Danio rerio: one gene and its partners. The protein of the gene in region 1 purifies or fractionates together with the protein of each later gene. This does not show direct contact. Links are inferred from orthologs where the notes say so. Each region holds a gene or a part of one and is shown in the gene's direction. Other genes may lie near its edges. The genes, in order: lrch3, sugt1 and myo6b.

The links.
Region 2: the proteins of lrch3 (region 1) and sugt1 purify together in Homo sapiens (co-immunoprecipitation; 3 studies listed by BioGRID and IntAct, counting the BioPlex papers as one, with this or other methods). This does not show direct contact. The link is inferred for Danio rerio from reciprocal best matches to the Homo sapiens genes LRCH3 and SUGT1.
Region 3: the proteins of lrch3 (region 1) and myo6b purify together in Homo sapiens (co-immunoprecipitation; 3 studies listed by BioGRID and IntAct, with this or other methods). This does not show direct contact. The link is inferred for Danio rerio from reciprocal best matches to the Homo sapiens genes LRCH3 and MYO6.

What each region holds. Positions count from the first base shown.
Region 1 is NC_133193.1:3,767,924-3,771,583, reverse strand, and holds the end of lrch3 (DISP complex protein LRCH3), read left to right. Parts: intron 1-105; coding exon 106-303; 3' UTR 304-3,117; downstream 3,118-3,660. UniProt on the Homo sapiens protein: As part of the DISP complex, may regulate the association of septins with actin and thereby regulate the actin cytoskeleton.
Region 2 is NC_133176.1:29,637,583-29,641,732, forward strand, and holds the start of sugt1 (protein SGT1 homolog), read left to right. Parts: upstream 1-1,239; 5' UTR 1,240-1,343; coding exon 1,344-1,357; intron 1,358-1,483; coding exon 1,484-1,532; intron 1,533-3,868; coding exon 3,869-3,959; intron 3,960-4,150. UniProt on the Homo sapiens protein: May play a role in ubiquitination and subsequent proteasomal degradation of target proteins.
Region 3 is NC_133192.1:38,666,570-38,670,229, reverse strand, and holds part of myo6b (myosin VIb), read left to right. Parts: intron 1-2,215; coding exon 2,216-2,271; intron 2,272-2,368; coding exon 2,369-2,466; intron 2,467-2,566; coding exon 2,567-2,731; intron 2,732-3,660. UniProt on the Homo sapiens protein: Myosins are actin-based motor molecules with ATPase activity. Unconventional myosins serve in intracellular movements. Myosin 6 is a reverse-direction motor protein that moves towards the minus-end of actin filaments.

The sequences.
Region 1 (3,660 bases):
CTCCTCATTCCCCTTTAATTTAAACCACATCACACCCCATCAACACCCTCGTTGTGTTTTATTTGACCATCTTCTTCCTCCTGCTGCTCTTGGGTCTGTGTTCAGGATAGTTTGTGTTCAGCGGGCGATGTGTTAGAAGGGGAACTGGTTTGTGTGTTCAGGCTGGTCGAAGCCTTGCTCTCTCTGGCTCCGCCTCCCCTTCGCCACGCCCCTTCTTCCCAGCTGGCTGGATTTGCCCTTTTTTACTTGTCAATCATGTCGCTGCTATGTGCTATCTACTGCCACCTGGTGCCAAGCGTTTAAACCACACTTTAGACCGTTCCAGTTTGTAAGGTTAACAGGATAGCTGGTGTTTATGCACATTTTAGTGTCTCCAAGTGCACCCAATGGACCCTTTTCACATTTCCAGGTTTCTCAGAAGCGGACGTCGGCATTGTTGGGTAAACTTAGAGTGCAGTGAATGGGAGAGTACAACAAATATTGTTTTTAAATGCCTATTTGCTGAAATAATTTAAAAACAAATCCACAATCGTGTTATCAAGGCTTACAGAAAAAGGAAAAACAAATAGTGTAAGACTGATAACGTTAGCCAGAAGAGAGAATAAAGTCAAATTTACAGTCCTGCCCCCATAGAGACTGCATTAGAAACACCAAGCATAAGCATTACTTAATTATTTAATATTCAACACATCATAACAGTCTTGTGAAAAGGGTCTATTGATACTTTGATTAGCCCCGTTTTTTTGGAAGAAGTGTTGCTCTGGAAGAAGAGCTTGATAAATTAACATTTGTACACGTTGTGTGCTCAGAGTGGGAATGATTGATTTGATTACAGGGACTTTTGCAAAATGTGTGAGTAATTTCTATTTAAAGATATTGAACTACAGTCAGTTAGATGATGTTATTCATACGATCAATATTTATTTGATCAAAAACACAGAAAGAGCTGTAAAATTGGGATATATTATACTACATTTTATTAGTTTTCCGTTTACAGTGCTCAACATGTATGAGTACATCCCTCACAAATCTCTCTTTTAGATTAATCATTTCTATGAGAAGCTTTACAGTGTTATATCTGTGGATATGTACATTAGATTAGTCAGTACTGAGGTCAATTCTGGAGCTAATCTAACAAAATAACGTATGATAATAGTCCAAAATGAGTACACTGAAATGTATATGTTAGGGACAAATATTAAATAAAAAGTAGTTTAAATTTTGTAGTTTGTAATTTTTTTCCTTAATATTTTGCATGAATTTAATTGTATTATATTTCTATTTCTAAATTTCTTAATTATTTTATTAAATATATCTGTTTAGTAGTAGATCTGTTTTGTTCAAATGCACCAAAATATGACTTAACTTCAATGAGAAATGGATAAAAATGTTCATTTTCTAAATGGGGTGTACTCGTTTATGTTAAGCACTGTTTTAAATTCTAATTTATTCCTGTGGCTCAAAGCAGAATTTTCAGCATTATTACTCCAGTCTTATGATCACATGATCCTTCTGAAATCTTTCTTATATGCCAATTGTCTGCTTTAAGAAGCATTTAATCAATGTTAAAAACACTTCTCCTTGGATAGTATCTTAACACAATATTAAGAGTTAAAAGCATCTGTGTTGAGAAACCTATTTGAATAAGCTTGTTATTTAAATTATCCAAGTCCAAAATATACCTGTATGGCTTTTTGTTTTCATATATCATACATTTAAGTAATATGACATGCAATAGAACCATTTTTTCCCTAACTTTCAGCATCACAAATCATTTATATGTTATGTTTTTTATGGGTACGCTGTAAAAAGTAGTTCAGTTCATATTCATATTAATAATATTCATTTTACAAGTCATTTAATCTTACGTTGCATTAAAAATTACATTACTTACATTTTCTTTAAACCATAAGTTAAATCTAGTAGAAAAGTTGAAAAATAATGAGCAATAAGTGGAATAATAAAACGTTTTCATGGCTAATATTCGATTAACTTGATGTCTGAGCTCAGTTTAATGCAATGAAAGTTAAAAATGAAATTTGATTCAGCATAAAATTGATGACAATTACACTTTATTTATGAAATTGTCAATTAAATACAACCCAAGTTGACTAAAAAATGGACAACAAGAATAACACGAAGACAAAAATAGTTTAAAAGCTTTTATGTAATCAAAAGCCAGTAAAATTATAATTAAAATACAAAATCATATGTCCAAGGGTCAGTGTATCTTTTGGTCATTGGATTTTCATTTTAGAAACAGATATTGAAGAACGAAAAAAACGAGTCGTTTTTTAAATTTTTATTTTAAAATAAAAAAACGAAAATTGAAATTCAATGTGTTTTTAATTTTTGTTTTTAAAATTTAAAGCAAAAAAAAAAACAAAATAAACTCGTTTTTCTTTTTCATGGTAAAAAACAGAAAAGCAGAACTCTAAAATAATTTATTTTTCATTTTTTATTTCAAATAACAAAAAATAAAATCAACAGAAAAAAAAATGAATAAAGGCTTGTTTTTATATATTCTGAAACCAGATAGGCCAACTCATATAGGGTGATGCAATGCTCATTTGCTAGCCTACTATAGGCTATTGTTGTTTTTCCACTTAATAATGTTATAAAAGGTGTTTTCTTGTTATAACAGGATTTTAATGTAATAGCAGTAGGGCAGGTTATTATTAAAATAATTTCAATTTATGTATTAAAAATCTGCTATATTTGCACATGGCTATATGAAATTATAGATAGACCCACTGTAGCGGGGTGATAACGCACGCACAACTCATCTGCAAGCTTAGTAATAATCAGTTTTTAAAAGACACAGGATGGTTATAATGATGTTTGTTCAGCATGCCTCCTTTCAGATAAAATTAGCTGTCAACTTTTATTTTAAAATATTATTACGTATTGAAATGTGCATAACGAACAACTGCCTCCCTCACCTGAAATGATTGGTGGTCAAACTTCGGGATGTAGAAGCAATATGGTTTTAACAATATTAAAACTTTATTTTCAGAAAAGTGTTCAGTAAAGCAACGTAATGCTTGCATGTAATGTCAAAATAAAGATTGTTTCATTTACAACATGCTAACAAAAAATAAATATATAGCCTATAATTGGCCCTCATACAAAAATATGTTGTCTTAATGAGGATAATATGTCTTAACAAAATCCAGTTATAACAAGAAAATACCTTTTATAACATTATTAGGTGGGAAAAAATAATAGCCTAGAGCAGGTCAGCATTGCATCACCGTAAATGAGTTGGCCTATCTAGTTTTGGAATATATAAAAACAAGCCTTTATTTGTTTTTGTTTTCTGGTGATTTTATTTTTTGTTATTCGAAAAAAAAAATGAAAACCAAATAATTTTTTTAATTAATTTTTTCAGTTTTTACCATGAAAAAAAAAAAAAAAAAGAAAATTCAAAATTCAAAAGCTAAAATCAAAAAACTTATTAAATTTCAATTTTCATCTTTAATTTTAAAACAAAAATCGACTCGTTTTTTTCTTTTTTCAATATCTGTTTCTAAAATGAAAATCCAATGACCAAAAGATGCACTGACCCCCAAGGCACTCAAAGAAAGTACAAATTAATTGTTAATACATTTTAATAAAGTAATTAATTATTTTTTTTATCTTTTCGAGTGCCTCGGATAA
Region 2 (4,150 bases), on another chromosome or scaffold:
TCTACCCTTTCTAACTATAATAAATATCAAAAAATGTAAATAAATGAACATATATCTTGCTTTCTTCTGCATTTGCTGTTAAAGAGAGCTGAATGATGTCACTTTCTGTCTGTGATGTCATTTAAGAGTGGAGTCTAAAATGCTATAGGTGAAGAATTGCTAGCGTGACTTATTTTGAGGGACATAACTTTGTAGGCTTTTTTGTAATAGAAAAAAATCTTTAATAAAAAAATATCTATCACCAGAAAAGAACACAAATAAATAGTTGTAATACAATATATATATATATATATAGACACTTTGTGCATTTTATTAACTTTTTTCTACATGCAATTTCAAGGAAGTGCCTCGGGGACATGATTACAGAAATATGTATTTTTTAGATAAAAATGCTTTTAATATATATATATATATATATATATATATATATATATATATATATATATATATATTGTAAGAAAAAATGATGATGACGAAGAAAATCTCAATGAAGATGTTTATTCAGCATAGCAGTCTCAAAATACATGGCAGTACCTTGGGTTCACCGGAGTCAGAATGAACCCTGAACATTCTTAAACTCAAACCTTTATACTGTTTTTGATGTTGCCTTTAGATGTTAATGAAGTTGCTCCTTGGCTGTTGACCCAGCTGTTCTCCCTATCTCTCCATGTTAATGCAGTTTCAACACCATTGATGAGATGGTTCTTTGTGCACCACACCCATCCCCATTCTACAATTGTTACCATTTGGTTGAGATGTAGTCACCTCAAACAATGCAGAGACAAGACCTTGTTGACTTCTCTTTTCTCTCATAAGTCAGCCCTTTTGGGAAATGAGCATCAATTCACCATTTAGAGTGGAAGTTGGGTCGAGGCAGACTCATTTCTTACAGTATATATATATATATATATATATATATATATATATATATATATATATATATATATATATATATATATATATATATATATTTAATTAATTAATTTATTTTTTTATTCATTATAATGTACAAAATAAATCAATGAAAATTGCTTTTAAAATGTCATTTTGGCCAACAATCACTTGAAAAAATATGGGGGACTGAAATATTACCGAATGCCAGGAATGACCTATTTATTTAATTTATTTATTTATTTTTTGTTAACTCCTAATCCACACTCCAATCCAAATGGTGGCGGTAATGCTCCAAAAATCTGGTTGCCAACCACTATAAAATCAGAAGAAGAAGAGCAAGGAAGTAGTGTGGGATTGACAGGCCCAATTATTTACTTCCTTTAACGCCGCTGTTCCCTCTCGAACTTTCTGCGGTTTCAGACGAAGTACGAAGTACGAAGAGTGGACCCATGGCAACTTGCGGGTACGAAATTTTGTCAGTTGTATGTATGTATATATGTAGGCCTATGTATGCTTGCATGTATCTATGTAGGTGTGTGTGTATAAAATTTATGTGCCATACGTTATTATATGTGATTATTTTTTGTAGGCGTTACTCTGACAGTTTCATAGATGAGGATCCTAGGAGGGCCCTTGAGGTATGCTTTTTTATTTAAATGTATATAATTCTGTTTGCCTAACGTTAACGTTTCGTGTTTTTATTGAACTTCAGTTATGCTTACTTTATATGACTCTTAGTAATAATTTACTAAGAGCTGATGTAACGTTACTGCTGAATAATACAAATACTCAAAATTACAAAAAAATGAGTAGCTTTTCAATGTAATTGTACTTTACTAGTTTAATTATACATAGTTTATTAATAAACTATGTTTTTTCCCCTCCTTTAACAACACAATATAATTGTGACACATAACATTCAAAAGTATGGACAGCATGGGAAATTAAATCAAATCAAATCAAGAAACATAGTTTTGGATTAAATATAAAGAAAAAAAAACAGCTATAAACTGCCCTAAAAAATATGGACTTATTTTTATATGCGCAAATACACAATCTACAGATGTTGAAGTTTAGTGCTCAAAAATCTTTAAAGGATCATTCATGTCATCATTTAACCACTGAACGTTTTACACTGAACACTTAACACTGAGCATTTAACCACTTTTTCATTTAACCACCCTTAATGTCTGGGCTATCTTTTTTGCACATCTGATGTCGTAGGTAGGGTTGGTATCCATGCTGTTGTACTTTATGTAATAGTAATAGCCTTAAAATGGTAAATGGGATTTCTTCTTTCGGTATTGGGTATGTAGTGTTGCAGTACATCTGTGGAATGCAATTTCATATCAAAGTCTAAAGTTTTACAAAGTAAATACGAATACTAATTTTGACAGTGCTTTTGTAGGCTGTGACTGGCAACAACCCTTCTCTGCACAGATTGTTGTAAATCCTCAACTCCAGTGGTCAGAAAACTCTTGCGGACTCACAGAACTCTATGATTTAGAGATGAACCAATTGCAATTTTTTGGCCGATACCGTTTCTTTTTTTTTTTTTGCAGATTCTGTTTTTCTTTTCACAAACTATATTTATAATAAATAAATAAAAATAATACTAATAATAAGTCAACATCAGTTTCCCACAAACTACATTATCAACACTAACAAAACATCATTTTTTCCAATGTCTAAAATGTTAGCTCTTTTTCATTTCACAAAATTCTAAATATAATTAATTAAATGAAAAAAATATATTTGTATAGTTTTACTTTTTTATTATTGTTTTACAAATATTCATTTTTTTATTTGTTTTGTCTTATTCTGGTATAACATTTGCTGACAGCTTTGAGTCTGATGTTTGCTCTCTCTCTAAACACGCAATGTTACTGATGTCTAGCAGAATATTTCCTTGTGTAGCAGCTGTTAAAAATAGCTTAAAAGAAAAACGTTTAAAATTACTTATGACATTGTGAGCAGTTTGCCAGATTACCAGTATGGGGCGTAGTGCATCACAAGTAATGAGTAAAGTAATGCATTACTTAAAAACCAAAAGTAATAATATTTGTGTACTTTTATTTACGTTTGATGTCGTTTACATTTTAGTTTACAGGAGTAACAGTGTTTCGTTGATTACTCTTAGCAAATCAGCATCTCTGGTTGTATTTAAAGGTCCTATAAGGCGCTTTAAAATGCAAATATTCCTCACTGCTGCCTGTTGCGTAGTGTCATGCATGCACTGTCACGCATATTGAAGCACACATTCAGACGTGATGTGTTTAAGCTGTTCGTACTTTATTTATATCCATTACTTTAGTCTGTAAGCATATTCTCTGATTTACACTCTGGAGCTGAAGTTGGTGGTAATGCACCAAAATGCTTAATGCTAACCGCTGTAAAAATCCCCAGCCAGGTTGGAGGATATTTCTAGCGGGGATACTTTTCACTCATACTTCATTTTTGTTCATAATTATTTGACTACTAGTTCTAATTGCACTCAGTGTTTTGGCAGGTAATGGCAACTTTTAAATTTGAATGTGATTTCCACTAATCTTTCCACCACTGTTTGGATAGGTATGTCCTGGACTTCAATGAGGGGATGCCTAATCTAATAAATATGAATTTTTTTATTGAAAATTAATTCATTTAAAAAAATTTTCAGGGTATAATAAATGATCTTGGCATTTTAGGGACAGCCAAGACACAATAGGTGCCCTTCAAACTAAACCTATCAGAATTTAGTCAAGCAAATATGGAATAGATTTAGTAGATTTGACTTGCAATGTCTGTTTAGATGTGTTTTAAGGTGAGAGATAAGTGTCCCTTTACAACTTTGCATATCTGCGATTCATCATTCACCACACCGCTATTGTGGCAATGCTATTATTCAGACTTTTGAGAAATAAACATAACGTCTACCTTGTAGTTTGTCTTAATACTCTCTCATGAGGAATAATGTGTCTTTCTCCTATTGTAGGAACTAAATGAAGCATTGGGAGAGAAAGCAGATAATGCTGAATGGCTCTGCCAGCGAGCTTATGCCTATATTCTGTTGAAAGAGTACACCAGTAAGGACTTCTTTTCTTTTATATATATATATATTAATATTTACATGTATTCATTATTTATTTCTTAACTAGGTATATTATTTATTATTAATATTTCATATTGTCATTCTTTGAAGAATTTAAGAGATCATATAAGGACTGGGTATTAATAATTTTAAAGTAAAGCAGTTGGGTAAGAACAACAGAAATCA
Region 3 (3,660 bases), on another chromosome or scaffold:
AAGCACAGAGTGCAGTCACTGACAAGATAAGTGATAAGCATTTTGGCTGTTTTCACCAAACAAAACACAACAGAAATTTAAATACAGCCATCAGAAGCACAGAGTGCAGTCACTGCACTCCAACAAAATGGTATGGTTTATGATCTAATTAATACACATTAAACCTCTTAAACATTATTAAATGTACATGCTGAATCACTGATATTGGTGGGCTTCCATTGAATCGCAGATCTTAAGTTCAATTTCAAACGGTTTATTTTATTTTCAAGATTTGAGGTGAAATATCTGCTGCTGCTTTCAGTAGTAGGGCAATACATGTCATGTACAATTGCATTTAAACTCTTATTATTAGCATTTAACACTGATCACCTTGGGCACACCTAATATGCTTTATTCATTGTCAGTTTTCTGTTGTTCAGCTCCAAGAAATAGAAGCTATTGCTAAAATACATGTTTCATGTGTTGGTTGGAACAAAAACTCCTTTTAAAATGTAAAATATTCCTTCTATCACGTGTCATTGCTTTTATTTAGAACACCACTTAAACCAGCCTTTGTTGGTGTCGTCAATCTGGCAACCTGCTCTTGCATGTGTTTTGAACCAGGAGTGCAATACCTAGTTGAACCACTGGGTGTCAAACTTACATACTGCTCCTTTAAAAATATAAATCAGTATTTACATTTTGTTGCTAACAATAGCAACGGTTGGGTTTAAATCATGTTGACGCACATTAATAATAGGGCTGGGCAAAGATTAATTGCGATTAATCGCATGGACAAAAAAAAGTTTGTATTGACATAATATATTTGTATGTATTATATATATATATTTATCGTGTATATGATACACACATACATAAACTATTCAAACATTTTTTTTAGTTTAATAGATATTTAAATTTATATACAATTTGTCTCATACACAAAATTATTTCATAACTTAATATAAATAAACGGGTTCTCAAGGTTATGCATGCATGTGTGTTTATATACTTAATAAATATACACAGTACACACACGAATCATGCCAAAATAAACTTGTATTGTATATTTTTAAGAAATCAATACTTTTTAAGCATAATGATGCATTTAATTGATCCAAAGTGACCATGCAGACAGTTATTATCTTACAGTTAATCTCTATCGTAAATTATTGTTTTGAACATTTTTATTAAAAATAGAGAACATTGAAAATCAGATTTTGTGAGCAATAAATTAACATTTTGTAGGGATTTCATGTGATTATGTGACATTGAAGAGCTTTACCATCACATGAATAAAATACATTTTTAAACACAGTAGAAAACATTTGTATTTATTTATTTTAATGCCATACAGTCAGAATTATTACCCCCTCCTTTGAACTTTTTTTTCACAGTATGTCTGATAATGTTTTTTCTTCTGGCGAAAGTCTTATTTGTTTTATTTTGGCAAGAATAAAAGCAGTTTTACATTTTTTTATATCCATTTTAAGGTCAAATTATTAGCTCCTTTAAGCTAGTCTACAGAACAAACCGGCATTAAACAATGACTTGCCCAAACCTGCCTAATTAACCTAACTGACCCCAAGTAGCCAATTTTTTTCTTATAGAGCTAGTCTATAATCTTCTATTTGAAGCTGCTTTAACACAGTCTACATTGTTAAAGTGCTATAGAAATAAAGATGAATTGAATTGAATTGAATCGAATAGTTCTTAAAAATCAGAGTCTCTCCTTCTGAACAACAGATATTATGTCGGAAATCCAGTTCTTCACCAATAAAGGTGATTTCCAATTGTTAAGCACTAGTCTTTTAGCCACCACCATGCTTTGCATCAATGACTCTTGCATTGCCTGAAGTAGAGCAGATGTAATTTGTGAGACGCCAAAGATGGCACGGCATCTGGTGGAAAAGGTCTGCTGTAAGCTTTGGAGCACCAGTCAGTAGAAAACATTTTAAACAATGTTACATTAAACGATAAAAAATAGAATTACAATGTTGTTTAAAATTAAAAGTATTACTATATTTACTGTATATTGATCAAATAAATACTTTATTACTTAAAATACCTTGGTTAATTGAAATACGGTTTGTATAAAATATGATCAAAAACATTTTATAGTCCTCAATAATGTTACTGTTTTGCAAATTAGTTTGGGGGTTGTTTTGGGCCAGTTTGATTATTAATGTAATCATGTTTTAATACTGTAAGTGTTTTTTTTTTATTATTATTTCAGGTATTTAACCACATCTTACGGCACAGGCCAAGATATAGATGAGAGGATTGTTGAAGGTAAGTGTCTAGCACAGTACTGCATGTTCTTTTTTTGCATCTGATGCAAAATGTTTGTTTTTACAGTACATACTGTATATTTCTCTGCTGTGTTCAGCCAACCCCTTGCTTGAAGCTTTTGGAAATGCAAAGACGGTCAGGAACAACAACAGCAGCCGCTTTGGAAAGTTTGTGGAAATTCATTTTAATGAGAAGGTGAATTTAGTTTTATAGTCTAAAGACAAGAGTGTGAGTGTACAAGATTTCACGTAGGTATTATTAACTATGTGTGTTGTGTCTTGTGAACCGTGTCCAGAATGCAGTTGTGGGCGGTTTTGTCTCTCACTATCTGCTGGAGAAGTCTCGGATTTGCATGCAGAGTCAAGAAGAGCGAAACTATCATATATTTTATAGACTGTGCGCAGGGGCGTCAGAGGACATCAGGAACATGCTCCATCTCAACTCCCCCGACAGCTTCCGGGTCAGTTTCCTGTACATTGTGTGTCAGGAAAACCTGGAAATCATTTAACAAGACTAGAAGACATTTTTTGTCATGTAATTGGTGCAATGAAAGCTATCTAACAGCCATGACTTAAGCAAACAGCCTTTCTTAGTGCGCTTGATTGCAGGAATATTTGCATTTTTAAGCATGCACAACAAAAACATTTAGTGTCTTAAAATATACACATGCTAAATTCGAAATAAATAAGCTTTTAGTTAGTGCTGGGCAAAAATTTGTCGTAACAAAAAAAAAGTTTGCTTTGACATAATTTAAGTAGGTGTACTGTCTAAATTTATTATGCATGTATTAATACACATACATGTATTTGAGAAAATTTTTATTTATGCTAGATTTAAAACATGTGTATTATACAAGTTATTTATGCGTTTAAATATCTATATAACAAGATCGTTTTGTATAATTTTGTTTCTATACAGTGCATGCGGAAAGTATTCATAGTGCTTCACTTTTTCCACAGTTTTTATGTTACAGCCTTATTCCAAAGTAGATTAAATTCATTTATTTCCTCAAAATTCTACACAAAATACCCCATGAAGACAATGTGAAAAAGATTTTTTGAAATTGTTTAAAATTTATTACAAATAAAAACCTGAAAAATCACACGTGTTCACAGCCTTTGCTCAATACTTTGTTGATGAGCCTTTGGCAGCAATTACAGCCTCAAGTCTTTTTGAATATGATGGCACAAGCTTGGCACACCTGTCTTTGGGAATTTTTGCCCATTCCTCTTTGCAGTACCTCTCAAGCTCTATCAAGTTGGATGGAAAGCGACGATGTACAGCCATTTTCAGAACTCTCCAGAGATGTTCAATATGATTAAGGTCTGGGCTCTGGCTGGGCCACTCAAGGACATTCACAGAGTTGTTGAGAAGCCAATCCACTGATAT